Linked DNA regions of Schizosaccharomyces pombe. The protein of the gene in region 2 binds, or shares a complex with, the protein of the main gene of each other region. Each region holds a gene or a part of one and is shown on either strand. Other genes may lie near its edges.

Evidence for each region.
Region 1: nup132 (region 2) and nup120 share a complex: the UniProt entries of both Schizosaccharomyces pombe proteins name them as parts of the npc107-120 complex.
Region 3: nup132 (region 2) and nup131 share a complex: the UniProt entries of both Schizosaccharomyces pombe proteins name them as parts of the npc107-120 complex.

Annotation. Positions count from the first base shown.
Region 1 is NC_003423.3:4,012,934-4,023,498, reverse strand, and holds nup120 (nucleoporin, WD repeat Nup120), read left to right. Parts: upstream 1-4,648; 5' UTR 4,649-4,731; coding exon 4,732-8,142; 3' UTR 8,143-8,273; downstream 8,274-10,565. Other genes in the region: GrpE domain-containing chaperone mge1, read right to left, coding at 281-952; vma7 (V-type ATPase V1 subunit F), read left to right, coding at 1,877-2,012, 2,071-2,297; Fe-sulfur protein Isa2, read right to left, coding at 2,504-2,675, 2,745-3,190; Sre1 cleavage-activating protein Scap Scp1, read left to right, coding at 8,724-9,652, 9,710-10,565. UniProt on the Schizosaccharomyces pombe protein: Functions as a component of the nuclear pore complex (NPC).
Region 2 is NC_003424.3:2,773,884-2,784,471, forward strand, and holds nup132 (nucleoporin, WD repeat Nup132), read left to right. Parts: upstream 1-3,404; 5' UTR 3,405-3,487; coding exon 3,488-3,671; exon of another isoform or gene 3,672-3,727; intron 3,728-3,735; coding exon 3,736-7,040; 3' UTR 7,041-7,170; downstream 7,171-10,588. Other genes in the region: etf2 (electron transfer flavoprotein alpha subunit), read right to left, coding at 209-862, 935-1,045; tRNA 2'-O-methyltransferase Trm13, read right to left, coding at 1,457-2,200, 2,252-2,288, 2,368-2,693; serine/threonine protein kinase (CK1 family) Cki3, read left to right, coding at 7,533-7,667, 7,734-7,803, 7,864-8,012, 8,086-9,051; porphobilinogen synthase Hem2, read right to left, coding at 10,058-10,588. UniProt on the Schizosaccharomyces pombe protein: Functions as a component of the nuclear pore complex (NPC).
Region 3 is NC_003423.3:968,938-979,623, reverse strand, and holds nup131 (nucleoporin, WD repeat Nup131), read left to right. Parts: upstream 1-2,777; 5' UTR 2,778-2,991; coding exon 2,992-4,452; intron 4,453-4,486; coding exon 4,487-4,580; intron 4,581-4,621; coding exon 4,622-5,007; exon of another isoform or gene 5,008-5,046; coding exon 5,047-5,401; exon of another isoform or gene 5,402-5,442; coding exon 5,443-6,575; 3' UTR 6,576-6,602; downstream 6,603-10,686. Other genes in the region: TRAMP complex zinc knuckle subunit Air1, read left to right, coding at 1-95; ilv1 (acetolactate synthase catalytic subunit), read right to left, coding at 506-2,515; serine/threonine protein kinase (CK1 family) Cki2, read left to right, coding at 7,176-7,301, 7,354-7,423, 7,491-7,639, 7,705-8,667; SPOM_SPBP35G2.04C (uncharacterized protein), read left to right, coding at 9,590-9,660, 9,753-10,173, 10,359-10,616. UniProt on the Schizosaccharomyces pombe protein: Functions as a component of the nuclear pore complex (NPC).

The DNA.
Region 1 (10,565 bases), on a different chromosome or scaffold from region 2:
GTCCCCTCGGTAAAAATATAATAATGTACCCATAGCCCAAAAAATGCAATGAAACTTTTTACGATCTGTCTTTGACTATTAGTTTGCAGAAAAAAGCATCTGCACAGAAAGACTTCTGGTTCCCCTGAAAAGACTGAAAAAATCCAATAATACCACAAAGGACTTTCCAGACAAACATTGAGAGTTTAAAAATAAAAAAAAACCCCGAATTGGTCATTAAAATAATATAGGTGAAACGACGTATTCGTATGCTCCTTGCTATCATCTTTGACTAGCTCCTCTAGTCGTCTCCCTTAACAACACCAACCTTGGCAGGACGAATAACTCTTCCATTCAATTGAAAACCCTTGCTTTCGCAATGGAAGACAGTGTTGGGCTTTTTACCTTCAACAGGGATTTGGAAAACAGCTTCATGGATGTTAGGATCAAAATCTTCTCCGATACCGTCATAGCGAACTAAACCATATTTTCCTAAGGTTTTCATTAAGTTCGATTCAGTCATTGCTAAACCTTCATAAAGATCAACTAAATCCTTGTTGGACTCACGATTGTTACGCTTCTCCTCTGGAACAATTGAAAGAGCACGCTCCAAATTATCGACAGAATCCAAAAGATCCTTAGTAAGCTTTTGAACAGCAAATGCACGTGTTTGCTCCATGTCTCTCTTCATGCGGTTTTCCAAATTACGATAGTCAGCTAAGCTTTGGCGAATGCTACCCTTTAACTCCGCAACCTCTTTGTCCTTTGCTTCATATTTACTTTTAAGCTCAGAAAGCTTAGATTGAAGTTCCTTAACATCAACATTCTCTGTTTCGGCAACTTTTTCTTCAGCAGGCTTTTCTTCCTTAGCAGCCTCAGTTGAGTACCAAAGGAAACTGCGTTTATTAATGGGTGCTCGAATAAGCGTCCGAGGACGTACAGCGGATGAAAATACTCTTCCAAGCCCAAGCATTGTTTCAGTGAGAGCTTTGTGGTAAAAGACAACTGTGTCACACTATAGACAAATGGTGTTGTGAACTTAGCACTGTTAAATTTTACAAATATCAATTTCATCAACTTAAAAATTCGTTATGTTTCGTTAAATGAGGTATGGACTTTGAGATGGAAGCTGATTCAAAAAATATATAAATGACACTTTTTTCTCAAATTAAAGCTTCTATTTCGATATGTAACAAATTGATTGTAGGTTTGAACATGCATGTAGGAAAGCAACCCAAATTTCGAATTTGCTCAACACTGGAAGCCAACAACGGCTCATATGCTTATCAATTATTAATTTATTCTTTTCAGCTTCATTCTCAACAGATAATAATTAACTGATTTCTCATCTATATTTATATCCTTCTTGGTATGCTTTACGGCATTGGATTATATCGAAGTACTTACTTCGCAGCCTTTGAAAGTAAAATAATTGAATATTATAATTTAAGTTTTAAAATAATCCTATTTGTGTCATCTGGGCCATCTTATTATTTTTACATTCATCAGTTTATTTGCATAATGATATTTGTTGAACAATTTATGGGAGTCGAATTTTCACAAATTCCTATTATAATAATATCATATTCTTAATTACAGAAGTCTTCATAATAAAAGGTACCTTAGTTAAGTGTCAGATATGTCTTATCGGTATTGGACCTTACACTTTCATCCACCATCACTACTTAAACTCAGGAATACATTTGAGGATTGTAGAGGCAGAGCCATAGCTTTCTGTTAAATATTTATCTAAGCTTTGTGAAAATTTACGATTCAACCACTGAACACTTTTAATCGCCTACTAGTCCAGAAGTTGCGCTTTCAAGTAGCACCATACTCTCCTATTTTCCTGCTTGGACGTTTACCTAGATTTTCTAAATACTTATCTCTCTAAATCATGTCTTCACAATCATATCGAGAACGGACACTTGTTTCTGTAATTGGAGACGATGATACCGTTACTGGGATGCTTTTAGCTGGAACTGGTCAGGTAAATGAAAACGGTGACAAAAACTTTTTTATAATTACTCAGAGTAAGATTATCTGTTAAAAAATGGAATCGTGTTTTCGCTAACTTGCTGTTTTATGTAGAGACTACAGATGAGCAGATTGCTGAAGCTTTTGATGATTATACTACGAAAAGGAAGGATATTGCGATTGTATTGATTAACCAGTTTGCCGCTGAAAGAATACGTGATCGTATTGAAAACCATGTGCAGGCATTCCCTGCTGTATTGGAAATTCCTAGCAAAGACGATCCTTATGATCCTGAAAAGGACAGTATCCTCCGTCGTGTTAGAAAGATCATTGGAGAATAGACTATTAATATTTAATTATATTTTTTGAGCAATAATTTCAATTAGTCAACAACTCGATCGATTTGACTGATGACACTTTTATATTTGTATCTTTTGGTTTACTTACTGGCATACTAGCAAAAAATTGTAAGCAGAGTTTTTGTTAAACTATATTTGATAAATAGAAAAGTGATTATAAGAGAAATGTATTATTTTAAGTATAAATCTCATTCAACATCAAAACTGACATTACAACCACAAGAAGTCTTGGCACGTGGATTGTTTAAAAGTTGAAAAGAGGAACCAATAAGTTCATTTGTATACTCAATTTCAGAGCCACTTATCAAAGGTAATGAAATGTTGTCAGCAACAACCCTGGCTTTTCCACGCACAAATACCCTAGATATTTAGTCAATAACCAGGAAATACTTAATTAAAACTTATAGTCTTCTTAACCACATCACTTACGTGTCAGCATTTCCAATTTTGTTGTCCATGCGAAAAGATACTTGATATCCATGGCATCCACCACCATCGACAGTGACGCGCAAAACAGAGTTTTCTTCTGGTTTCCTTTCTGCAATTTTTTCTAACTGTTTTTTCGCTGAATCTTTCACGTATAAAATAAAAGGGATTCCCTTCTCGTCACATTGCTCTTGAAGCGTGAATTGGTCGTTCGCAAGCTTTGAGCTATAAAATCGATTTTTGATTTTGAATTCATTATTTATTTTGGGAAATATTTCTTTCGTTAATGTATTCGATTTCGCATCAATTCTACATGATCGAGAATTTCTAAGCGATCCATGCGATAGCTGTCGAATTGCGATCACAGGATTTAAGAGTGTTTGAAAACAACGTTCTCGAAAGAAAAATGGTCCTTTAAACAATAAGTTTACTCGCGATTTCATAAGCATCACTGCAAAGTATTATAGCCACAAGTTAGGACTTTCTAACTTGTAAACATACAGTAACGTAATAGAAGTCAAATTGCCTACGCTCTGTTTCGTTAATTCAGTATATTCCAAATTGGTGCTTATGTTTATGAGATAGAGAAGTTAAGTACATAAATGAAATAGTCATAACTTGACGAGTGTGTCATAGACTAAAGTCAAATTCAGGGATTTACCTATTAGTTAACACCCAATCTCTAAGAGATTTATATCGGATAGATTGAATTCGAACTTACAAAACTCTCACACCCATAGCTAGTAGAGAATAAGGGGAATTTATCAAATATATCTAGAATTATTTAATGTTCTTTTTTACTTATGTTGTATGCTACTAAATTTTGTGATGATTTATAGTCAAAATTAATATCTTTGGATTATTTTTACCTTTTGGTACTCCTACTCCTTTAATTCTCTTTCAGTTTTAAATGAATAGATTTTTAGCTATTAGAGATAATTTCAACCCATTTGGTTAATTCTTCTTCTGGATATTTATTGTCGATCCTTTAATTCTAGCATAGACCGGTGGATCACATCCAGAAAATGTCTTTATCACAATTGATGCCATTGCTACAATCTTCTACTTTAGCTAATTCTTTATCGTGATACCAGTGTATGTACTACCGCTTAATTACTATAAAGTTGCGGGTGTTCGTACAAGCACATATCACCGCAATTGTAATATTGAATCAGGTATAAGAGATCTTGGCTATTAGACTTAGAATTGGTTGTATCTGCAATAAAAAAAATAAATTATAAATTGCATGCCAATGAACAATAATTCACCCTTGCACGTAATTAATATTTATTAAAATGTAATTTACAATTTAACGTATGGTTGAAAATATTACATGTTTTATTTACTAAGAATTTGCAAAATTTAAAAATAAACAAAACTAGAAAATTAGAAAACTATTTTATTAAAAAAGATTGAAAGGCTGTAAATTAAGACCCTAAAGATGAGTACTGTTAATTTAAATAGATTTAATCTCTTAAAACAACAGCTAAAAAGTTACAGGTATACAAAAAATAATAAAAAAAACTAACAATAATCTAAGAAAGGCTTCTGATATCTTGAAGATCTTTTACTGTTGTATGTAATTTCACAAATAAAATAGAGAATCCATTTAAGCTCTTGAGTTTTAAATGAATATTTGATTCCTTTTTTATTATTATGAATACAAAGGAATTGCTCGATTAATAAAAACTATCAAATTGTTTAGCTTTCTTCATCCACAATCAAATGATTCTATTTTATTAAGGAACTTAATCTTCAAGAAGAAAATTCAGTTTTACATTCCATCTCCCTCTACCCTAAAAAGCTAAAGAATTACAAATATACTCGTATTTACGCGTTTCTCATAAATTCGTTGTAGGACTGGCCTGTCTTACGCTAACTCGTGTAGGTCGTTGTCTACGATACTCAACCAGAACTGCCCCCTATTGTTAGCTATTTGTTTGGTATTTCTACTGGTATTACCGCTACCAGTAAAAAATAAAATCAAAATATGAATGAATTAAAGCATGCGGTAGTTCCGATAGACTTACAATCTTTTTGTCTGGAAGGAACTTTGGCGTTGTGGGTTCCAGCTCTCGAAAACGACTCGGAAGACGATTCTGAAGCTATAGAAACAGCTGATGATAATGAAAAACTTTTTAAAAAGGAATGTGTAGCATATGATGCAGGTGTTTATACCTCAAATAAAAGCAAAGGTTCACAAACTTTACGATGGAGTATATTCCAAAACAGAACACTCACTATCTTTGATGTTTCATTAAATTCTAAGAAGGAGCCTTTATCAAAATTTAATGTGAAAATTCATTTTCCATCCAACGTAATGAAGGACGGTGTAGCTTTCTCGTTCAGTGAGCATTCCGACACGACCATTATATATGCTATTACTCACGCTCGCGTTTTGTATTATATTAGATTATCTAAAACTTGGTTCCAATTACCGGACGCTCGCTTAGACGACGATTGGTGTCTTTGTTACCGACCAATATCCTTTCTGAATCAAAAACCCGATTTAATGGCCGCAATTAGCACGTCTGAAATTTGTGTAAGCTTTTTCAATGGAGGTTTAACAAAGATTATATTAAATCCAAAAGACGCTAGTCACTACGAACAGCATATTGATGATTCTAGTTATTTGTTTTCCCTAAAAAAATATCTATCACTTCAGGCATTTAAGGCAGATTACCGCTCTCCTAATACTATTATTTCAATGATTTTTTTGTCTACCTATAATGTTCTTGTGATGCTATCGCTTGACTATAAGTTAAAAGTTTTGGATTTGTCTACTAATCAATGCGTCGAAACCATTGAACTGTCACAGACTATACTTCCTCTACAATCCTTTCCTTATTTAACTTCAGATCACACCACTAATTCTTTCATCGCTCTGTATTACCCAGATAATTCTCATGGCTCTTTTTCAATTTACAAACTTAACGCAAACGCCCACTCTTTTAAATTAAATGTTGTCATCGAGAAGGGCATAATTCCTCCTTCTTTACCAGACGATGAGTTCATACCATGGATGCTTTCTGATTTTCAACTGATATCGTCAGAGGGCTCTCAATCTAAATTTTTGCTCATTATTGCTTGGAAAAGCAACTTAAATACCGTTATCCAAAAATGCAACCTTAGTCTAGATCAGGACGAGAGTTTTTCATGCGTTTGGAGTCACTCTTTGGATAGCTTTTCCCTCATAGAAAAAACCTTTTTTGACGTTCCAACAAACATGTCGTCTGGGGATATCTCAGAGATTTGGCTACAACACATTTTTGCACATAATACATCTATTGAGTCTATACAAGTTGCTCTTTTAAGCTTTCAAAACAGCTCCTCGCAAGTTTCAAAAAATAAACTGGATAAATTTGGCGCACTTACTATAAGTGAACTTAAAAATGCCGTTTTGTCGTCTATAGTTTCAACGATCCAAATAGAGCCAAATTCAGATTTAACTGGATACGATTATTATGAATATAAGCGGCTATTATATAATGAATGGGAAAGGTTTGCGAAACTTGTTGCATATCTGGATCATTTTGGAGATGAAATATTAAGTATTAACTTCGATCCTTCGAACGCTGTTACATATATCAATTATGCAAATAAAGTGGCTTTTATTAGGGATCCTTATCTCATTGAATCCTTTGACGAAGAGCCGTTGACCAAATTAATTAGTTCCCTTGAAACAGATGATCCTTCTCTAATTGAAGGTTATCAAATTCTGGATCTTGGTAGGAGTTTACATTCCTGTATGTCATTTTCTACTTTATCTGAAATTAGATACTCATTACGAGAACTAGTCCAGGATTTGCCATCTTATTCTTTATTTGATACATTGTGGGTATTTTATGACAAGCACATATATCCCAACGTCGATCCAGATTATATCAGTACTTTAATTGATACTCTAGTTTCTCTTGAAAACCCGATGCGCGACATTGATTCTCTTATCCAACGCTTAAGAAGTTTCGATATTTACAACCATTCCGCTCAATCCCCTTCCTTATTTTTGTGTGCATCGGTAGCACGGGTTTTGGACAGTATTTTGAAAAAGTTTCAAGTCTCTATTGAAGGATTTATTTTTCTACTTTCTTTGATAACTAGCCAGCAGGATTATGAGTTACAATCCAAATTTGCAGGATGTGATAAATTATTTCTTTCTTTACTAGAAGATTGGCGTCTTGTGAGTTTTCTTTTAGAGAATTCTGCACTTTTGCTAGAAAAATTTGAGGAGGAGGATGTTGATTCAACAAACTGTAATTTAAATACTATGGAAGCTTTAGCAAGTGTTAACACAGCCCTTCAGTTTTTTTCCGCTTTGAATTATTCCGAATGTTTCTCAGAAAGCCAAATTTCACCTTTACATGCTACCGTGATATCGTCTTTGTCGGCAATCTTTATAAGGGACGATACGGAAAATGATCTGGTCACTGAACTTGTAGAAAAGTTGTTTCTATTCAAACAATATAATGCATGTATGCAATTAATAGGGTGGCTTAACTCTGACCCAATTGCAGTCTACTTGAAAGCACTTATTTATCTCAAATCGAAAGAAGCTGTTAAGGCTGTCCGATGTTTCAAGACTACTTCTCTAGTCCTTTACTCACATACTTCTCAATTCGCAGTTTTACGGGAGTTTCAAGAAATTGCTGAAAAATACCACCATCAGAACCTATTATCGTGTTATTACCTTCATCTATCAAAAAAGCTGTTCGAGGAGAGTGCATATATAGATGCATTAGAATTTTCTTTATTAGCAGATGCCTCGAAAGAGACTGACGACGAAGATTTGTCTATTGCAATTACCCATGAGACTTTAAAAACCGCTTGTGCAGCAGGAAAGTTTGACGCTGCTCACGTTGCATTGATGGTTTTATCCACTACGCCTTTGAAAAAGTCATGTTTACTAGACTTTGTAAATCAATTAACGAAACAAGGTAAAATAAATCAGCTTCTAAATTATTCAATGCCAACGTTAAGACAGGACGTCGACAATTTGCTTGAGCGAAAGGCCTTTCAAATGATTAACGTTGAATCACAACCATGCTGGTATAATATTTTGTTTAGTTGGCGGTATAAACATCAAAACTATCGAGACGCAGCAGCAATTATTTATGAAAAACTGAGCCGGTATATCTCTACTACAGAATTAATTGGAAAAAAGGAGAGAACTTTTATAATAGAACATTATTTGATTGTTTTGAACACTCTGGAGTTGCTTCCGAAAGAAGATACATGGATTCTTGTGACAGACATGTCCGTGGACAAGGAACCTGACCCTAACTTTCTTCCACAAAAATTACTTACTCTAGATGCAATTGTAGCAGAATATCACTTACAGTTGAAGGATGTCGCTGTTCAAGTTACAGCTGAAATGTCATCGGCCATGAATATCGATTTATAAAGGCAACAAAGAATTATTTACGCAGCTTAACCTTCTCATTTAGAAAAATCCAGAAAAAAAGCAATATGCTTGGCAGAGTTTTAGTAATTAAATCATCTTTAGTTTCATTGAGGCGATGGGTAGCCATAAATAACTAACTTCTTTCTATAAAATTAAATTCTGAATATAAATATACTTTCGATAGCATTGGTATTTACATATCTTTAACGAATTATAATTCCGACCTTTTTGCTGCAGCTTGCCGCAGTTTGCTAATTAGTGTTGTCCGTTGGGAAATATTGTTGAGATACGGCTAGTATCGGCAGAATGTTGGAACCAACAATAATTATATATTTGAATTTTTATTTCCTTATTTTATAACATTTTTTTGAAACTTTTGGTTTCAGATTAAATAATTCTCTATTAATAATAGTGTACGGAAATTGCACGCCGTGTGCCCGAATTTAAATTTGTCGGGTCCCGAAGGAATGTACAAAACACCAAGACCTGCGAAAACTGATTCTCAGTGAATTGGGTATATCGGTCTTGTAAAGATCTAATTAATGAACGTTTACCAATGTTATTGAACTGAAAATATCGTTATGAGGATTTTTACTCTTGGAAAAGGCCGAATTTCACGAGGGTATGCTCGGCAAGTTAACCCTTCATTATTTGCCAAGTACAGCTACTGTATTGCCAATAATCCTTGGTATTTCATTCTTGTGTTTACTCTTTTATCAATCACAGGTATATATTCGTCGTTGGTAGCGTATCAGCAATCCCTTTACGATCAATCATTAGCTAGATGGTCGGCTTGGTATGCCGAGAGCATCAATGCTGAAGCAAATGTTATTACGAAACAACTCTATCTTTTAGGAACGAACACATCAGTGTTTTCCGAAGACTATCTTTCAAACGCGTATCGTTGGGAAACAAGCTTCCATCAATATTTGGCGGAATACGGGTATCCTTGCATAAGAGATGAAAAATCCTGTGTAACTATTTCTCCAATACCAAAATATTATGGTAAGGTTGATCCTGTAGCTCAATATTCATATACTAAAGGGCTTCCTGAAAATGAGCGTGAAGTGAACAAGCTTAGGAATGATACAATAGCCGAAGGTTTTGACTCGCTTAGTGCTTTTGTGATTACTTACTTTTTAAAGCCTGAACAAGTCGATACTTTTCATGTTGTTTTAAAGAAATTTATTTCCGAAACTCCTAATCTATATGCAAGTTTACTTGATACATCCCCTACCACTGTCGTAGCACGTATTCCTGACCTTACTGTTATTTACAGATGGTACCTATGGGTTGGGTTTGGAGTCGGACTTTTTGCATATTTGTATTTGTCACTTGTGCGGTTGCATGATATTCGTGCTAAATTTGGTCTTACAGCGACTATATTTATTCAAAGCGGTACTGCCTACTTCTCTACCTGTTCTTTGCTGTATTTCTTTGAAAGAACGGGCCCCATATGTCCATGGCCTATGGCTTACTATATTATCATATTTATGGACATTGAAAACTCGTAAGTTTTTTTGCTATACTTCGTCATTATGTGAACGTTTTATTACTAACTTATCAGATTTCGACTTTTACGCGCAGTAATCGCTTCTCCTCAGACGAAGCGTGTTCCTTCTCGTATAATGGAAGGGTTTTCTAGTACTATTATTGCCTCCTTTTCATCCTTACTTAAGAAGTTATTGACTCTTTTTGTCTTGAGCTTCTTTGTTTATCCTCTGGTGCAGGAGTTTTGTTTGTTTCTTGCCTGTTCTTTCGTCGTTAGTTTTTTACTGCATGGAAGTTTTTTTCTAGCGGTCCTAAGTGTCGATATACGTCGTTTGGAGTTGCAAGATTTTTTAGATTCAAACTCTTCTAATCGAAACTCAAAATGGTGGGTTCCGTATCTAGAATACGTAAGATTCATGTGGTCTCCATGGATTATCGATAATCTTGGTACTGTTTCATTTCATATGTACGTTATTTATTTACAACTCCAATCCAGTACAGATATCAATGGGTCTTGGAGATTAGCATCTCCTAACATTCGCTTTCTCATTACGTTATATCATCGTTTAGGCCGTATTTTACGAGAACGAAAGTTATTTCCACTGATTACGACCGGTTGGTTTGGTGACCCCACTTTTTTAGAAGCATTAAAAGAGAAGACGATGGCGGAAAACCTTGTTATTGCTTTGTATCGACCAGTTATTCTTGACACTGTTAACCGTCGTGATTACACTAATGTCTACAACTCGTTTCATGACCGGAGAGTATGGAGATGGTCAACATTTTTCAGCATACTGTTCGCAATTGATTTTGCGGTTGGGTTGCTTGTTAAAGCACTTTTGCGAGGCTGGTCTGACCATGACGAGCTTTCAACCGATACAACATTACATGAGGAAAAATTCAGAATAGAACCCGTTCCTGTTCATCATCAG
Region 2 (10,588 bases):
GAATTGAAATTTACGAACGAGAACGAATATTTCGATGATCAAAGAATTTCTTTAACTTAACAAATATTCAAAGCGTTCAGTGTTCAAACAAAAACAAAAGAAAGAAATAACTTGTAAGGTTTATTTGTAATGGGAAACCTCTGCATATAAGAAAAGTGAGCATGAAATCTAGCAAATTTCAAGACGGTATTTACTTTACGAAAAAATCTTAGAGGGCGCCAAGTTCCTTTAATGTCTTAACCATTTCATCAACACTCTTTACCATTATGTTTTGTCTCTTTTGAACAGGCTCGGAGACTGAAACAGTCTGTAGTCTTTGATCAATTGTTACGCCTAGATCTTCGGGAGACATTTTGCCTAAAGGAGCCTTCCTTGCCTTCATAACTTTTGCCAAATTCGCGAATCTAGGAACATTAAGACGTAAATCGGTGGTAATAATGGCTGGAAGTGTACTACTTAAGGTTTCTTCACCGCCGTCAATTTCTCTTGTAACGATAACTTTGTCACCTTCAATACGGACTTTACTTGCGCTAGTGAATTGAGGCCATCCAAGCATAGCAGCCAGCATACCACCTGTTTGGTGTGCATCATCATCAATAGCTTGCTTGCCCAGCAAAACCAGATTACTTTTTTCCTTCTCGACTGTTGCCTTCAAAAGTTTGGCTACTGAAAGAGGTTCAAGTTCTTTTTCGCCAACATTTATAAGTGCTGCTCGGCCAATTCCTTTAGCAAGACACTGGCGAAGAATGGGCTCAGAAGAAGTTTGTCCTGCGGTCACTACTAAAGTGTCCTCAATTCTATTTTTCAAAGTTTCCTTCATCCTTATAGCCTCTTCTACAGCAATATCACAAAATGGATTAATCTTTTCACGATTAGTCAAATATAAATTGCGAATTACAGCAGTACTGAAATGATTACTCTCCTTTCAACATACACTCATTTTTTGCCCCGATAAATCAACAGCAGTCTTAGTGGCATTGATGCGAGGCTTTAACATATAGTCTAGAGTTCGCTTGACTCCTACTAAAATGCGAATTTTCGACATTTTTGCGATATTGCTATGCGGTGGTCAAAGACTGGAATTGAAGAAGGTAGAAAGTTGAATATGAAACCTTCATACATATTCCATATTATTTATTAATGTTGTTAATTTTATACTTTTTAAAAAAAATAGTTTTTATTATTTAAATATTGCACAATTTCCGAGTTTAACTAGTTAGGAAGTTTTTTAATTTTAAGTAAGAGGAAATAATGTCTATCAAAATTTACATATTCCAAACAATTCCAACTTCAAGAGAAATCATGATTGCTAAAAAAAAGTAAAATTTGCTTTAACTATCAGATTGCTATATGCAATCTCACACTTCAAAAAAGTACAAAATAATTCTAGTTTTTTTGAGTGCAATCTTTTCAAATTTAAAAAATTTTCTTACTTTTCTCACGTAAGGAAATTCACTTAGTTGATTCGTTTATAAGCGATGAGTGCAACATTTTCTAAAGTCGTTTCTTCACCAACGTAGTATACGAGAGAAGATTCATAACCCATTTTTTCGCATTCTAATTTTCTCATGTAATTGATAATATGCTTGCACTTCAACCCAATTTTTACGCGTTCCTCATGAGAAAGACCACTGATGTGTGAGTCGGCTCCTCCAGAAGCATGCATATGCTCACGCAAACTGTTTACAGCCCACCCAGTCATCTGTCGTAATATTTGAAACTCTTGTGGATTTGAAATTCCCCAATGACTTAATTGTTCTCTAGCAAAGGTTGAAAGTGTTCTCCATCGGCAATGATGATGACAACAAAGGGCAATTACAAGAGCATTAGGAGGGGAGGACTTTAAGCAATTCAAGGTAAGGTCTGTGGCAGCACCACATAAATGCTTAGAATATGCAAATACAGGTTTACCACTATTCCGAAATTCACTAGCAAAAAAATCGAGTTTCAAATCCTTAATATCAATTTTACACCTTATAATTTTTGGCTCAGGCCAGTTATTTTTGATGCTATCTTTTAATATCCTGCTATCATGCTTCGTTCGATTTGAATCACGATCAATAAGTATATATACGTTTTCTTGTTGGGAGCAGTGCTGAACATATCTTGATAACTCGGCTCTTCCAGCACCGAATTCGTAATATATAGATCCTTGGTTGTCAAAATAATGTAGTTTTTCCATATGTCCTAACAATGATGCCTAAAATGGTTAATGCTTTTGACTGCCGTTAAGAAATCATGTCGAACATACCTGCTGAATTGCATGCTTTTTTTTTGTACCCTCTTCACTGTTAAAAATGAAGTTAGTTTCTACTTTTGCAACCATCTTCTTAATAAAAAGCTAATGAGAAAGCACTTCGTACATACAGTCTTGCATTCATTGCCGGGTGAAACAACACCTTTTTTTGAGGAGTCGGTAAAGAATCACTAATTCTGTTGAACAAACAAATCCATTTTGACAACTCTTCCTTGCTTAAATCGACGATTTCAAAGGAGGAAGATTCTGAAGCATCTGTTGAAGTAGAGATATTTATGTCCTTCTTGTAATATGGATCGGTCCTTTCAACAGGACGCGCGTTACAACGCTTCAAATGATATTCTAAACGATGTCGCACAATTGTATGCTTGTGATCATATGGACAGGGGATTTGTTTTAATTCTTCCTGAGTAAAAATTTTTTTTATTCGTGCCATCAAGTTAGATAACTTTTTAACTCTTAAGTGATATTAGCCTGAATATTGATCACAAAAGTAAATCTTAAAATACAATAATTTTATTTTTCTTGTAAAATTTGGTCTTTTTCAGTCCTTCGGATAATTTACAACACTAATGAAAAATAGCTTTCCGATTCGGCAGTTCAGACACTTCAAAATAAAGTATTTTCGCGTTTTTCTCTTTATTACAGTTGTTTCCAACCCAGTCCCAAACTTTCTACTACTTTTATAGTTTTCTGTACCAGATGTGCGATTTTACGAAGAAATCTGATGTTTCCAACCATTGGCGTGCTCATAAAAAAAATTCAAATACGGAATCATGAAACATTTATATAAATTGATCATGCGTTCTAAAAAAGTAGTTTAAGCTTGACCTTGAAGAACGCAACTACTTTTTAAAAACCTCTGTTTTATACAACATTCCGGGAAAAGACAATATCCTAAGTATCACTTCCTTAAATATACCAAAGCAAAGAAATAATTAATTACAAAAGAGCAAACTGTGTTGACATTTGTGAAAAAAGTGTATATGACATATACACCGATTTTGAAATATTGATATATTGATTTTACTCTGAATTTCTTATCAGTAGCTTAACTATTTAATTCTGAGTAAAAAATAGGAGTCTAAGTAAAGTTCTTTTGATTTCAAACCCTTCTTTGTAGGAATCGTCGACATTCGTCCTTCTCAGAGCCATATTCTATCCCTAAGGGTATTAAGGAGTCAAATAGACGATAACCGCCAGTATCAGTACTGATATCGTCAAATAGTCATGAGTTCTATCCTTGGTAAAAGGAAAAATGAAGAAGTCGTATCTTTTAGCCCTTTGAAACGAATTTCTGTTGAGAAATCGCTTTTGGATAGCACTGCCTATAATAATTCATTGGATTGGCTCAGATCTAAAAATTTCAAGGTCTCGTGTCTACTTAAACATTTTAATTCTAAAATTATCAACGGTACGAAGCTTTTATTTCTTCACTGTGCGCATTACTAGGTAACTAACATCTCTATTCAATTTAGACCATCCTTTAAGTGGATCATGCTACACAGACATCGGTTATGCATTAATTAATTCCCGAAAAGCTTGCTTTATTTTGTCGTATCGTCAAAGCTTGGGAACAGCAGAACCTCCAACTATAACATTTCCGCTACCTGAAGAGGACTCAAATGGCTTTTCCGGGCAAAATGCCTTGACAGCCTTCGTCCCTTCTGATGCTTCTGACAAAGAACCTGGATTGCTGATTGTAATGCCTATCTCTGGTCGTATAGCATATTGGACTTCAATTGGGAATGCTCTCGCTCAATCTTATATATGTCCCCAGGGAATGGAAAGTTTGATAAAGTTACTCCCCAAAGAAAAATGTGAGCATTTATGTTGCTCAAACCCCATGAAGTTCATCATATCTACCAATTTTGGTCGTCTTTTTTCTGTTCAACTGCGCGATCCTGCAGGTCAACCTGACGTTTCTGTACAATTATTTGCTTCCGATATTAGTACTTTTTCTACTATTCTTCAGAAAATGAAGATTTTTAACTACCCTAGCATTCATATCATTGCTTTAAAATCCCCACCACTGTTCTCTCCATACCAACATCTTTTGTATGTCGCTGAGGCATCTGGTTTACTAGAGATATATGATTTGAAGTTGGAAAATAAGCTTGTTTCTGGTATGAATCTGTCTCCTATTTTTAAGCAGGTTTTGAGAGAAGGATGCCCCGATGCAAGCGGACTTGAGGTGTTAGACCTTACTATATGCCCCACAAACGGAAATCTAGTGAGTTTTTTAGTATGTTGGAAAAATTCTATTAATTACCGTTACATGATTATTTCTCTTGATTTTTCTGACATTTCCTCACCCTCGGTAATGAATATTCATCCATTGTATTCATTTTCTTCTAAATCTCTTGAGTCTTCAAAGCTACATTATTCATCATCAGGGAATTCTTTATTTGTGGTTTTAACAGACGCTGTTATTATAGTGCACGTCCAAGAGGATGATAAAGATATTGTATCGAGAACATCATGGGAAGAGGTTATTCGTATGAATACTAATGTCTCTGGCGGCATATTTATGTCTACTTGCTACAAATACGTTTTAGGAAAATACTCTATTCCTACGGAATCATGTTTTATAGCAACCCCTTATTCTGGTATCGCTGAAATAGAAGTTCATAGTTTGGAGCATCCTGCAAATAACGAATCTCTCGTAAAAAGCAAGTTGGAAGAAGCTGTTTTTTACTCCTTCCTTCCTGGTAATCCGATCGATTTTTCCTGCAATTACCTTCGCTCCATCAAAAAGCCTGAACTCGAAAGGATTATTGTCGATCTTGGAATGGACATCTTGAATTCAAGGTCTACTCATTTACCCCCATTATTTGCTTCTTTAATGCAGCATCTGTCCTGTAGGTTAAATTCTTTGAATAATCTTGTCCGGTATATTAGGTCTATGTCACTGGATGTTGATCGTCAAGTACTATACAAGTTGAGAGTAATGGGCGAAAAATGCAATTCTGTTAGATATTTATGGAATACTATCGATACTGAATTTAGTACTGTTAGTCATTCCCTAATTTTTCAACGCATAATTTATAGACTCACTCAAAGTGCTTCGTCGGATAACGCTTTGAGAGAGTGGTTTTTGCATAATATTGAAAGCATTGATCAACTGATAGCGCAAGCACATGAATTTTGCATAGATTCAGGTTCTCGAGTTCAAGAACTTCCATTGGAAGTTCTTGATGTAATTATGGAAGCTAATGAAGTAATTCTGGCAATTCAATCTTCGGCTTTGGCTTATCGCCGTGAGTCCCAGAAGATTTATAAGCTAAGTATTGATACCTTTGGAGAAGAGGTTCCTTGGACGTCAACGCCAGAAACTTTAGTTTTGCTGTGTCGACAGTTTGAACTTACTCGGTCAGCGCTTGTCCAGTCACATCAAGGAACCTCGGATGTGGAGAATACTTTTAAAATAAAGGATAAAGGGGTGCTAAGAAATGTCGTTTCAAATTTAGAAGTACAATTAGTGGCCTTGACAGAGGTTTGCTTTGACGCGTACTCAGAAAGGATTAGATGGATAGAACAACGTTGTGGTAAGGATGCTAGTGAAATTCAAGATGTCAAGGAAGCTTTTGCAGTTAATCGCAGATTTTGGGTTCAAACTTTATCAGATATAGGTAAAGGCAGCAGTGCCATTCGAATCGCTGAAAAATACTCAGACTATCGTTCTTTAGTAGAATTGTGCTATCAACTTTATGAGGACAATGAGCTCACGGATGCACTAAACAATTACCTTGATCTTTTTGGTATAAAATTCGCATTTATATTATATGACTATTTTGTTGAAAATGGCATGGCATTAGAGTTGCTTAATAGCGACAGGTTCAACAAATCTTATTTGAAACAATTTTTTAAATCTCGAGATTACAACCAGATTTCATGGATGCATGATATGAGGTTAGGAGACTACGATGCTGCGTCGCATAGATTGCTACAGTTGGCTACTAAACAAGAAAAGCTGGTTGATAAAAAGGAATCTGAGCTTTCATTAAGTAAATTATTTCTTTATGCAGTTCCATCCAACTCTGGAAATATCAGAGATTTGGTTTTAGTGGAACAAAAGCTTGAGCAACTACATATTCAAAAAATGGTTTCCAAAAGTGTTATGCCAGTCGTTGAACGGCTTCGTTCTCAGGGGAAAAAATACCAGCTTGTAGAAGCTGTTGTGGATGATTTGATTGGTGCCAAGGTAGCGCCTGTTATCGCTCGTCAGGTTATGCAGCGCGTAGTCAAAAAGTTCATTGCCGGACAGGTGGTTGAAGCAACTGAACTGTTGGAGTACCTCAGCTTTTCTTTATACCGTCGAGAGGACCTTGTAGAAGGTGAAGTTACCGACTATTATCTTGCTTTGCGTCTTCTTTTAACCACCAGATTAACGGACGATGCCAAGAGATTTTATGAAAATACCATTTGGAGACGAGCTGTTTTACATGACAACTGGATCCAAGTTTTGGATACCCAGGGTAAAAACGATGCAATTATAGAAACCCAATTCCGAATGTCAGCACTATATCGGACTCTAGAGGCTGTGACCATAAACGGACTTTTTCATGAAGGACTTATCCGACCTGGTTCGCTTTCTTCTTGTAAGTTTGAAGGATATGATCCTCAAAATCTCATTTCTATTTACCCACCCGCTCGCTTTGGAGATGTGACTGAAGTTACCAAAGTACTTAATCGTGAAAGCGTAAAGTTGGATCATTATCTTACAAAAACTAATTTAAATACTTGCTATATTAGTATGTGTTTAAGTTGCGATACGATTTAACCTTTATCTTAATCATACAAACCCATTAGATAATAAAAGAATTTTGGTTAGATAGGTTTCATCCGAGTCCCTTGATCATTGTCAATTTTGTTAGCTAATGAATCTAAAATAAAATTTTGTTTACCACTAACTCAAACTAGAAAGTATACCATTATATCTATTTTCAGCTTTCCAACCTTATACTACGCTAGCTTGGTATATCGGTGGAAAACCCAGTACTGCTTACTTGTCCACTACCAAGTACAGTGTTGGCTGCCTCGGATTCCTCTGAGGTTGTCAACTGTAAACGAAATAATTGAACTGTCACTTTCTTTGTGTTTTTCATGGAATCTTTGTGGATTTTAGCGGCATCTACTTCATTTTTCTACCCGTAACCATCTTTAACTTTCGAGTGCGAAAGACATCAACATTTAACAAACCGGAACGCTCTTTTAATCAAAAACATTTTAAAGAAAACTGCATTTAACATAGTGGAATATTTAAAAGACCATCATGTCAACTACTTCGTCTCACTCCAACGTCGTTGGTGTTCATTACCGCGTTGGTAAAAAGATTGGAGAAGGATCTTTTGGCATGTTATTTCAAGGTGTAAATTTAATCAATAATCAGCCAATTGCCCTAAAATTTGTATGTAATTATTTTTAGAGAGCAATCCAGATTCTCAATTTCAGTACTAACGTTGCATTCTCACAGGAGTCCAGAAAAAGCGAGGTTCCTCAACTTCGTGATGAATACCTTACTTATAAGCTACTAATGGGTTTGCGTAAGTATTCACTATGGTTGCTATACTGATTTTCGTCAATTTCCTAACATTTATCCCTAGCTGGAATTCCGAGCGTGTATTATTACGGTCAAGAAGGCATGTACAACCTTTTGGTCATGGATCTTCTAGGACCTAGTTTAGAGGACCTTTTTGATTATTGTGGCAGACGTTTTAGTCCTAAAACCGTTGCCATGATTGCAAAACAAATGGTAAGTTTGTAAACGTCTATCCGATTGTTGTCGGATTGGCTTTATGTGATTACATTTTAACAGGGTTAATCAGATCACCCGTATTCAATCTGTTCATGAGAGACATTTTATTTATCGTGACATTAAACCAGATAATTTTTTAATCGGGTTCCCTGGAAGCAAAACCGAAAACGTTATCTATGCCGTCGATTTTGGCATGGCTAAGCAATATCGAGATCCAAAAACTCATGTTCATAGACCGTATAATGAACATAAGAGTCTATCTGGTACTGCACGTTATATGTCTATCAACACACATCTTGGTCGTGAGCAATCACGAAGAGATGATTTAGAATCCATGGGACACGTTTTCATGTATTTCCTTCGAGGTAGTCTTCCCTGGCAAGGGTTGAAAGCTGCTACAAATAAGCAAAAATACGAAAAAATTGGTGAAAAGAAACAAGTCACTCCTTTGAAAGAGCTATGCGAAGGATATCCAAAGGAATTTTTACAGTACATGATTTATGCTCGGAATTTGGGTTACGAAGAAGCTCCAGATTATGACTACCTACGAAGTCTGTTCGACAGTTTACTGCTTCGCATCAATGAAACTGATGACGGAAAGTATGATTGGACTCTCCTAAATAACGGAAAAGGATGGCAATACAGTGCAGCTAAGCAACATGTCGTCCAACGTCGACATACTCAGGGTACTAATAACAGGCGGCAGTCAACTATTCCTCCATATGCTCGTACTCGCCAGAATTTGCTCTCTAGCCCAAGTAAGCAAACTCCAGTCAATAACGTGGTTGATGCCAGTGTTGCGACGCAGAAAGATGGTATACCAGGGAAAGCGGCTTCTCCCCAAGTTCAACAACAACAGCAAACTTCTTCCGCTCAACAGCAGCAACCGCAACGGGTGGAGCAACCTGCTCCTCAGACTACCCAGCCTACACAGGTAGACACTCAACAAGCTGCTAAGCCTGCGCCCTCGAAAGAGAAATCACGAAAGAAGTTCCATCTTCGCTTACTGTCTTGCTGCATATCGAAACAAGAATAGTCATGATTATTCAACGTCTTTCCTTCTTGTCTTTCACTGTTATGTCGATACTTTTTTTATTTTTTTCCCATTATTAAATATCCGCTTACAATTTGCAACATAATACGTCCATACGATTCCTTCTTTAAATTAATTCTTCCGGAATCGTAATGTGACGTTAATCCCGGCTGCTTAAATTACATTGCTTACTGTTGTTCAAAAAAAAAATGCTCACTAGATGAGATTCTGTGTTTGTTGGCATTCTTTTTGATTTTGAAATTTTTGAACGTGTTGAGGATGAAGATTTTGATTCTAATTAGTACTAATTGTTGTCCTACCTTATATACATAGATTCATATTATTACTCCAATGCATTATGCATCATATGCAATTGAAGAGCGTAGAAGCATGTTCCTTGTCGTTGCATTTTACTTTTGAATCATTTGCAGCTGTCATACTTTTTCATTGTAAGTTATATCGATATATACATAAATAGTCAGAAGCTTCACTGAGCTACCAAATGTTGACTCATAAGGTAAAAGATGTTTGAGAAGAACATGCTCCAATTACTTTGGGTGAAGTATAGTGAATATTTAATTTATCTTATCATGCTAGAAAGTTATAGTCAGTAAACGTGGATAATGTACTTTACTTTATTCTAACTGCCATGAAGTATTGAGACAAATCTATCAAATTATATAAATTAAATATTAAATTTTTAACATGTCCGTTCATCGCTTGCAAAAGGAGTCAATAGGATATCACGATAATTTGGCAACCTACGGTTGTCTAAGATAAAATCTTGTTCTACACACGAATTTAAAGTATTTTAAAAGAAAGAAAAACAATTTCTTTCGTAAATAACTGCTACAGATTATAAACGAAAATTTTTAATAAACAAGAACCGGTAATCGCAGATTCGAAAAACAATTTCATAAGTGAAACTCTAGACCATTAAAGAATATAAACAAAATAATTTTTCAATCATGATAATTTTGAAGATGATTGATTTCGCATTATTTTTTGTTTAATATTCTAGCCATTCCAATAATTCAGGAGTAAAGTAAGTCAAAACTATGTTAGCGCCAGCACGCATAAAGCCATCCATGGTTTCCATCACATGTCTTTTTAATTCAAATACGCCAGCGGCAGCAGCAGCATGAATAATGGCGAATTCGCCTGAAACTTGATAAGTAGCAATAGGAAGGTCATCTGCTAGCTTAGAAGCCATTGCCAAAATATCGAGATAAGGTGTTCCCGGTTTTACCATAATACCATCAGCACCCTCTCTAACATCGCGAAGAATTGCTCTTTTGGCCAAGCCACGTGCATTACAGGGAAGTTGATAACAGCTGCGATCACCAAATTTTGGGGCACCATTAGCAGCAGCTCTGAAAGGACCAAAAAAACCAGAAGCGAACTTTGCAGAATAGGAAATAACGCATACTTTATGAGACAGTTCCAACTCTACAAGTTTCTGCTTAATCGCCTTAACACGACCGTCCATGCAGTCACTAGGAGAAATTATTTGAGCGCCTGCCAAGGCATAATTTCCACT
Region 3 (10,686 bases), on a different chromosome or scaffold from region 2:
CACCTTCTGAGGAGAATGGCAATTTATCCTTTCATTCTTCAGATGGAAGAAAATTTACCAAAACTTCAAAAAAAAATCGTAAACGAAAATGGTAATTCATGTGCTGGTATTATTCATCGCATGGTGTATCGCTCTGCTCACATTGCATTGCACTCATTGATAATACTATCTTACTAAAATTTATTGGCAAAATCTAAAATATATGTACATTAATTTTATACACTCTCATTTGCTATGTTCGCAAAATTTGTAATGTTATTGACCTCCATCATCAAAATTAAATACAAGCTATGATAACGGAGTAAACCATAGTTAGAAAGCAAAACAAAAAAAAACAACCAAAATCGAAGATAACAAGGCAAAACAAACAAATTTGCTTTAGGGTAAATAATGACAAACCGCCCACCAGAGTCTAAAAGAATGTGACACGATAATTAACGCAAGTTTAAATAAGTGTTACATCTGACTCTTACAAAATAGCTGTTTTTAAATTAATCAAAAAAATTTATGAAAGGCTTTCATGCAAAATAAATTGGTGAAGAGCCTTACCACCAGGGACAAATGGATACACATGTTCCTTTTGGGCAACCAAAACTTCCATAAGCACAGGACCTTTAGTTGACAAAAACTCCTTCATTTTTTTAGCCAAATCTTCTCTCTTTTCTACACGTAGTGCTTTGATGCCCATAGCGTCAGCCAACTTAACGAAGTTGGGATTCTTTTGATGAGTATGAGAATAGCGTTTCTCATAAAACAAGTTTTGCCATTGAGTGACCATGCCTTGCTCTTCATTATTTAGGATAAGAATTTTAACTGGGATATCAAATTGACGGACGGTAGCAAGTTCCATACCAGTCATTGAAAATGAAGCATCACCATCAATATCTATAACAATATCTTTAGGTGCAGCAACGCTAGCACCTATGGCAGCTGGGAGACCAAATCCCATAGTACCGAGACCACCGGAGGTTACCAAAGAACTAGGTTTTGTCCAACGATAGAATGTAGCGGCCCACATTTGATGTGCACCGACACCGGTGGTAATAGTGACTTTGTCCTTTATGTCAGAAGTTTGTTTGTCAAGTTCTTGAATGACTTCTTGAGGCTTTACCAATTCACCAGGAGCGCTACGAGTGAAAGTGAAAGGGAAGCGTTCCTTCCATGTTTGAATTTGAGATAACCAGTCAAATCGGGAAGGAATTTTAATATTTTTAGTAGCAGAATCTAAAAGCTTTAGAGATTCGTATACATCGCCCTCTATTGCTTCAGTAGGTTGTACGACCTTACCGATATTTTTGGGTGAAATATCAAAGTGAATAATACCGCCACGCTCTTCGGCAGCAGCAAGACGTGCTTGAGGAGCAAACAAACTTACGTTACCGGTGACACGGTCGTCAAAGCGAACACCAAGAGCAAGGATAAGATCGGCTTCCTGCATGGCCATATTAGCGTATCCACTACCATGCATACCGAGCATATGCAAACTAAGGTCAGAACGTTCATCTACAGCACCAAGTCCAAGCAAAGAAGTAGTAACAGGAATTTGCAGCCTTTCGCTAAACTTGCGTAACAAAGTGGGGCATTCGGGATTAGCTAAAACACCATGCCCACAGAAAATCACAGGCTTCTTGGCTAATTTTAGTAAATTGGCAACACGATCGATCTTGGCAGTAACGTTCTTGGAGCCCTCTTCTAAGACTTCCTTCATTCTGCGATTCATTGATGGTACAGAAGACAGTATAGGAATGGGCTCCTTCAAAACGCTAGCAGTGACATCTTTGGGAAGGTCAACCAATACAGGGCCAGGGCGTCCAGAAGTAGCTATCTCAAAAGCTTCGTCTATACGACGGGGAAGATCAGCAACATCTTTGACCATTACATTCCATTTAGTACATGAACGAGAAATACCAACCATGTCAGCTTCTTGAAATGCATCACTACCAATTGCGCTGGTTGCTACTTGACCAGAGAATACAACTAGGGGAGTACCGTCGGCCAATGCATCAGCAATCGGGGTAATCACATTCGTAGCACCGGGTCCAGAAGTAACCAATACAACGCCGGGTTTTTTAGTAACGCGGGAATAAGCTTGGGCTGCATGTCCAGCAGCTTGCTCGTGTCTTGGCAAGATAAATTCAAAATGAGGAGATCTATAAATTGCATCGAAGACAGGCAAGATAGCACCACCTGGATAACCAAATACATGCTTAACATTATGCTTGAGCATCATATCATGGAAAATTTCACCCCCAGTCTTTCCAACAAACGAGCTGTCATATTTTATAGGACTAGCCGTAGTCACTGTAGAGGTGCTTTTGGTCGAATTTGCCCGAACGACACCGAATGCATTTTTTAATTTTTTAATTCTCAAATTATTACTAAAGCCGGTGCCATACCTCCGCACAGCTGAGCAACTATTTAAATTTAAAAATCTCTTTTGAAGGGCAATTTCTCGTCCATAAGACGAGAAAGCCGCCCTCGTATGCAATCTTCTAAGGGGAGCCAGCACAGTCATTATAAATAACTTTTAACCCTCAATTCCTTTCTAGAAAGAGCTATCTTTCAAGTTGCAAAAGATCGGTATGCTGAGCGGTATGAGAAGTGAGCAGGTTCATTTTTGCCTAAAAACATTGGTTGTTCACCACCACAAAAAAGATCAGATTTGTTAACGATAAGTACTGTACCCCGGAGATTAAATATACCGATGCATAATACTATACCCTTTGAAGTCGTGTTATTATTCTTTAAAAAGTTCAGATGATGTAGGAATACAATTTATCTATTTATCCATGTCTCCTTAATTTTTTAAACATTAGTAAATGCTGGAAAACGTCAAATAAATTTTTCTTGATCCTAAATTATAAGTTTCCTATCGATTCAGCTTAGAAAATCGTCAGAATTATCTTTGAGCATAATCTGTTTAACACGTAAGAGATCTTAGATACTTTCGCTTTTTTAAACATTAGTGAGCCTCTTATTAGAGGAATTGCAATGTTTATTGTACATCGACGGTTTTTTCAAAATGAAAAAGCTTTTACGCCTGCAGGAAAACATGAAAAAGTTGCCGACGGAAACAAACATGAGACATTAGCTACTTCAGAATACCCGAAAGTCTGTGCATCAAATGACTTGTACAAAATACTCCAAATATCTGCTCCTAAGGTTGGCAATTTTACAATCCATGATGCGCCAGTTGTTGGACTAATTGACTCTATTTTGGAATATTATTTGTATATTAGTGTCAAAGTTCGAAAGGCATGGATTGCTGGTTATGGAAGTCAGCCCCAAAACTTAATATGCTTTGATTGGGAACGTTTTACGGGTATTCTAGATCAGCAGAGTCTAAATAGCCCACCGTTAGCTGGATTTGTTAAGCCAGATCCAACATCAGCAGAGCCTGGCTTTTTACTTTTGTGGCCTGCTTCGGGCGACCTTTTCTACTGGGAAAGAACTTCTTTGATGAACGTTGAGGTTTCTGCTCCCGAATTTCCTGGTTTTCTTCATTACAGGATTCAACTAAAACGATATGAAAGCTGTAAAAATTTGGTTAGTGCTGAGCCTGCTGGCTTTTTCCTTACTCTGAGTTCAGGTCGGTTGCTTCATCTGAATTTAAAAGATAGCGATGGCAATTCCTCTATTCAGGTTCGAATCCTATTTCCTGGATTGCACATCCCCAACTGCTTGCTGTCGTTATACAACAGTATCTTTGCATTTACTTCAGGAAGAGTTATTCCAATACGTTGTGGTTCAATAAAAGGACCTGGTGAGAGATTAGTTTATTCTATGCATTCTGGAAGCACATTGCGAATTTGGGAAATATTCGGGACTGGTGATCACCACTTGTTACGTGGTTTTGACATTTATGATATAATTTTAGATAGTATTCAGGAATCCTTTTCCTACGTAAATCGATTTCTAATCCTTGATTTTTCTGTTTCAACCTCGGATCCTTATACGTTAGCTTGTTTGGTTTCCTGGCGTGATAATGCTTCATTATTCAATTATGCTGCAATCATTATTTCTTTCAACCATCAGATGATACCTCATGTTTCACAATTCTGCCATGTACGCTCATATCTTTCTGCAATTCTTCCATCAGTGTGTCGAATATTTTTACCAAGTCCAGGTACAGTTGTTTTTTGCGTCTTCGATGTCACTTTTGCTATGTTTCATAAAGTGCGAGGGAAAGAAGGCACTTTTTATGTCGAAGAAAACCTGGTTGTGAACAACCTAACTTCCAAATCTCGGGTTTTGGATTTTGGCATGGAAGATGCGATATATGAAAAATCTACGCACACCTTACTAAAAACTCCAGCATTGATCTTGTTAACAGAAGGGCATGGTATAATCCGAATTGAATCTTCTGCTAGCTACCTGAAAACCAGCTTTAGTGCAACCACCTATTTACGAAGTCGTCTCTCCCAGTTTGCATCGCAAAGCCCTTTGTTCCGTGTAAGTTGTTAATTCTTTCGTATCTAACATATAGGAACAATTTTTGTTAAATTTTGACTTTACATACAACCTCTCTGAAAGCGAAGTCTATAATACAGTCTTTAATCTTTGTGATGAACTTTATACGAGTAAGATAATTTTTTCATGATATATTACTAATTGCAATCAGCGCCATGTAAAAAAAATATGTCTGTATTAGAAACACTACATTCTCAGCAACGTGACTTGATGGAAATAGTTCTTGTTGCCTTCAAATACCTACATTTATCTCCTTCTAATAGACTTCAATTATGGCTAAAAGTTGCCTATTGCAGTGCTTTGGCAGACCTATATGAATTATTGATGTGTAATGAAAAAATGTCTAACTTGCTTCGACGAGTATTGAAAATAATGTCTTCAAATGATAATATTGATGAACTTTTTTTGAAAAAGTGCCTGAATATAAATTTGTTATTACAGCATTTAAGCTCGGAATATTCTCAAATATCTGGCCAAGATGCTAGCAACGCACAAAAAAGAATTGAAGTAATAGTAAATGTTAATAACGTTTATGGGGTATGTTTCTTATAAAATAACGAGGTTTACTAATATTAGACTATCTTTGGAAATGAGCTTGCTTATAGGCAAGAAAAAATATCAAAATTTACTGATCCATCCTCTGTGATTAGAAGCGACCTTTGGACAGTTGAAGTTGATCACTTAGATTTACTACGAAAACAGATCGAAGATTCGATATCATTGCATCGCGATGTACGTGACTCGAAAGATGCACACATATTAAAAGTCAGTAACAAGCTTCGGAAGCAGATTTTGCATCTGGTGGAACAAAATTGCCTTTTGATCTTTGATTTGCACAATGGAACAGATGATACCATAGTAAAATCGCATAATTTTCAAAAATTTGAAGAAGAATTTGGCAATTCACGAAAAGAATGGTTACAATATTTAGGTAAGCTGTTTCTCACTTTCTTGTTTCCGCTAACAAAGAAGCTTCTGTCGGATATTTGGAAAAGGCAATCGACTTGGCGGAAAAAGTTAAAGACTTTCAGACAATGGTAATTTTGCTGGATTGTCTAGATCCAAAGGATCCTACCATTAAGCTTCAAAAGCAAAAAGCATGCTTAAATAAATACAAAGAAGAATTCGCAGATGTAATTTTTTTTTATTTGGTTGATACAGAGCAGTATGCGTCTTTGCTTCATGATTTCTTGGAGTATCAATCACTTTTAATATCTTTTTTTGAAGCCAATGATTTATTGAATCTTTTGTGGATATTTGAAGCTCAAAATGGAAATTATGGACGAGCCTCCGAAATTCTTTTCCGTGATTGTGAACCAGAAGAAAACAGGATTATCGGTAAAATTTCGCAGTTAGCTCTAGCAAAGCTCTACTCATGGACTAATAGAATTGAAGGTGAAAATATCATATTGTCAAATGAGACTGAGGTGATTGAAAATCATTTAGCCATTTTGCTTATTCAAGAGCAATATGCTGAAATGCTTTCATCACTTGTGGATATTACAGAAGACGAGGGAGAAGCTGTCGAAGCAATAGTAACTTCCAATTGTGTAAATCTATCAGAAAACTCTATCAGAGCCTGGCTCGTGTCTAGTGCTGTTGAGCGATTAATTCAAAACGAATACACTACGCTTTGTGAGATGGTAGATTTCTTTTCTTCTTTTTCATTACGGGAATGTTCATTCAAAGAAGTTGATTTGGCCTTAGAGTTATTAGAAAGAGCTACAATCACTAAGGACGTGTATTTTTACTTAAAAGATCTCGTATATCGCCGTTTTCTATTACAGGTGAACTGGGCAGAAATCATCGATGCGCATGAAGATTTAGAATCTTCATTTTTTCCAATGGTAAAGGAAATTATGTTAGAATCAGACTTTTTAATATGGTTACAACATATGGAACACAATATTCACGACGAAAGTAAACATTACTTGAAATCGGAAAAAAATTTTTTGCAAAGTGTATATTCTTCACTTTCTGAGTCGCAAGTGGAAGATTATCAAATGGAGCTTTTTCGTGAAAAGCAAATTTTCTCAGTACTATGTAAAGATAGAGAGTTATACATTCTGATTCCGAAACTTCTGGACGTAGCAACAAAACAATGAAATGAAATTTTGCTATATATTACTTTACATTTCCTCAGTAATCGATAAACACCTGTTTAAACCTAGTACTACTTATGTTTGTATAATCTATCGTATAGCCTCAGCTCCGACAACTCCGTTTTTACGATGGTAGATGCTAGATAATCACTGGTTAGAATATTTACGGCTTAAAATAATTAAATTTTTTTATTATAGATTCTTGATTTATTATGATGATTGCGCCTTCGGGGCTTTTTCCCTGTCCTGGATAGCCTCACCCTTACGTTGGAAATTAAGCTAAGGCCTAGTGTGTTGCATCCAAGTACACCTTACAACTAACGTCCACTAAAACACTCAAACCACATAATCATTTGTTAGTCGAAAGAAAGCCTGTAACTTCTATTAAATTATAGTAATTGGTTTTCTAAATTTTGTTGTTTTTGGTCGGCTACTGAATCGCAATTGGACTTCAATCTCTGTGGTGAATGCAGTGAAAACAAACTGAGATTTGTGTGGCATTTGTTAGTGAGGCTACAAATTGACTACATAAAAACTGCATAGTCCTTGCAATAAAAAAAATTTTATCTGTTCGGTCAATTCCTTGTGACAGGGTTATTTATCATGAATTCCCAAACGAGCGTAGTAGGGGTTCACTATCGCGTGGGTCGTAAAATAGGTGAGGGATCGTTTGGTGTTATTTTCGATGGGATGAATCTTTTGAATAACCAACTTATTGCTATAAAATTTGTATGTTCTTTGTTAGGATGAGTATATGGACAATACTAACAATGGACGTTAGGAACCCAAAAAGTCGGAGGCACCTCAGCTCCGTGATGAATACAGAACTTATAAATTACTAGTTGGAAATGGTATGTTTTTATTTTGCTACCCAAAACATATGGTCAAGACTTTGGTACTAACCGTATTTGCAAATAGCTGGCATTCCTAATGTTTACTATTTCGGGCAGGAAGGACTACATAATATCCTTGTTATTGATTTACTGGGACCTAGTTTAGAGGACCTATTTGAATGGTGCGGTCGTCGATTCAGTGTCAAAACGGTGGCTATGACGGCGAAACAGATGGTAAGTTTCCTAAGTTGTTCCTATAAGGTTTTCAATTTGTTTAAATTTTCTCTGACATTTCAAAGCTTTCCAGAGTTCAGACGATTCATGAAAAAAACCTTGTTTATAGAGACATCAAACCCGATAATTTCCTAATAGGCCGACCTTCCTCTCGAAATGCAAACATGGTATATATGGTTGATTTTGGTATGGCCAAATATTACCGTGATCCCAAAACCAAGCAACATATACCATATAGTGAACGTAAAAGCCTCTCGGGGACTGCGAGATATATGAGTATAAACACGCATCTTGGACGTGAACAATCCCGTCGCGATGACTTAGAATCGTTGGGACACGTCTTTATGTATTTTTTGAGGGGAAGTTTACCTTGGCAAGGATTGAAAGCTGCCAACAATAAGCACAAATACGAAAAGATTAGTGAAAAGAAGCAATCTACCTCCATTAGTGAGCTTTGTGCTGGATTTCCTAATGAATTCAGTAAATACATGACTTATGTGCGTTCGTTAGAATTTGATGAAGAACCGGATTATGCGTTTTTACAAGAGTTATTTGATGATGTACTTCGAGCAAATGGTGATACGAATGATGGGGTTTATGATTGGATGTTATTGAATGACGGTAAAGGTTGGGAGTCAAGCTCTTCTCATTTTTCTGTTGTTGCTATGAAGCGACGAAAGAATTACCTTGGCTTAAATGTTGTTCAAAATGATGATTCCAGAAAAAAGAACAGTACTTTGCAAACACAGAACATGCGATTTAAATCCTCATATGGGGTGAGAGGTCCTAGAAATTACTCATCGTTCGATGCGTTGCCGAGCAAAAACGCTCCATTGGTGCGTCAAGAACAGTCTGCTTCTAAAAAAACAATTTATGCTCATTCTTCTAGAGGTTACGATAGGGTTCGACCTATGTATGTATCTCAGCCCTCGAATAATGCAGTCGGAGTAAATCATCCTAACGATAATTCTGATTCGGAAGCAAAAGGAGGATTTTTTGATATGATATGCTGTCGTTGCTTTTCTTAGTTTCGAAGCTTCAACTATTGTTAGAGTCACTCACTTTCTTAACTTAAATAAGTGTTGTTCTACTATGCGGTAGATATGCTTTCACAATATCAATCATTTGATGATTTGGTTTTCAGAGTACGGGATAAATGGTTCATCTTTTTTTAATATTAATTTGAGAAACGCTGTATAGCGTCTTTGAGCGGGTGCTTAAATCAAATTCTTTAATTATTTCGATTGCAAATTTGCTGGCACTAGCCTACTTTGCTGGTTCTCGTTTAATCTTTTAATGTTGCTTTCCTTTAACATAACTCAATATTGTCTTAAAACTGACATTGTACTATTGTAGTAAATAATATATACATACACATATATAACCAAACCATATGTATTCTAGGTACTAACAATTGGTAAAATGACAACGGAAGCTAATTCGTTTTCAATTACAAATAAATAGAATAAAAGAAAGGAATTCTTTTTATACTGATTCGTGTAATATATTTTTTAGCTGGACATTCAAAAAATAAACTATACGTGTCTTAAAGTATTTGAACTGGACAAATGCCATATGATTTATTGGAAACTAGGTAATTTCTTTTGAGTAATGGTAAATCCCTTTTTAGTAAAGGAAACAATCAGCAACAAATAAAGAAAAAATTTTGACTTATTGGGTTATAATTACTGCAGCGTATACCTAATATGCTGTATACGACCTCTTCAAAAACTAACGCTAAAATCTGTCAAACCATAGTATGTAATTTTTATTTTTTTTTCTCTATGGCGTAGATATAATTTCGTATCAAGACTGTAGACTTGAAGTTTTAACCCAAGTTTTATCAGGTGTTAAATAGATCTCCCTTTTCTAACTTCTTAGTGCGTGCACATGCATGTGCATGTGTGTTAAACGATTTGAGTCTAAAATTGACAAGAGCGGCTTCGAAATATGATATCTAATAGCTCCATTGAGGATAGAATTAATAAAAATGAAGCATATATAGCCAAGTTTTTTGAAATGTGTGTGTAATTATAAGAATTTCTGTGTTTGTCGCCTGAAGTTTTAAAATTTAAAGTGAATGATTTATGAGTTTACTTACTAACTTTATTAGATTTTCTAAAAATGATAAAATTCGCTTCCATGGAGTCTCACTTGACCGAAAAGCACTTGACTCGTTTATGGTTAGAAACAATTTTAAAAAAAGGTTCGTATCTGGTATTAACCTACCCATTTTAATACGATTACATTTTTATAAGAAACTCTTTACCATTTTATGGCTAACAGTTAGAACGGTCGCTTTGTTATCTCATGCTAGAAACATACAATGTCTAATTCAGGAATCCGATGGCGATGCTAAAGACGTTGCTCGTTCCATTTATATTACTACGGCTGAGTTTCGGAATTATTTGTTGACTGAAAAAGGGTTTTACGTTACGACCAGGAGCATTTCACATTTTCGAGCAATATTAGACAGCATAAGATACCCTTTTGGAAAAGACCATGCTAGCAAGAACATGGAGCTTTTACCTATAGTAAGTTTTACATAAATTTTAAGCGGACTACTATGTAAGGGATCTTATCCAAAAGACGTATCTGCAATTTTTAGGGTTGATAATGTTATACCTTTGCATGTAGTTAAATTCAACGTTCGTTGATATAATATGCCAATGTTTAACACGTTTTCTTAATGATGCATACTAACCGACTACTTACTTAGACTTACGATCTCAGTTTTTGTACTGTTTTTCATGGTTATCTCACCAGTATACTGGAAGCTTATGAATTCTTTAGAGGTGTTTTCAAAAAGTATAAAGCTCCCTTGTCCTCTAACTTTATAGCAATAGGAAAGACCACGGACGAATCTAATTTCTCACAATTGCATCATTATTTCCAAAAGTTTGATGAAAGAATTCGTCGAATATTACATTTAATCTCTCAGGAGTTGGATGGATATTGTCGGATAGCGAAGCAGTAATTAATTTTATGTTCTTTTTATCAATTTTTATTCAGGATATGGGCTGCATTAAGTCGTACAACCATCTTTC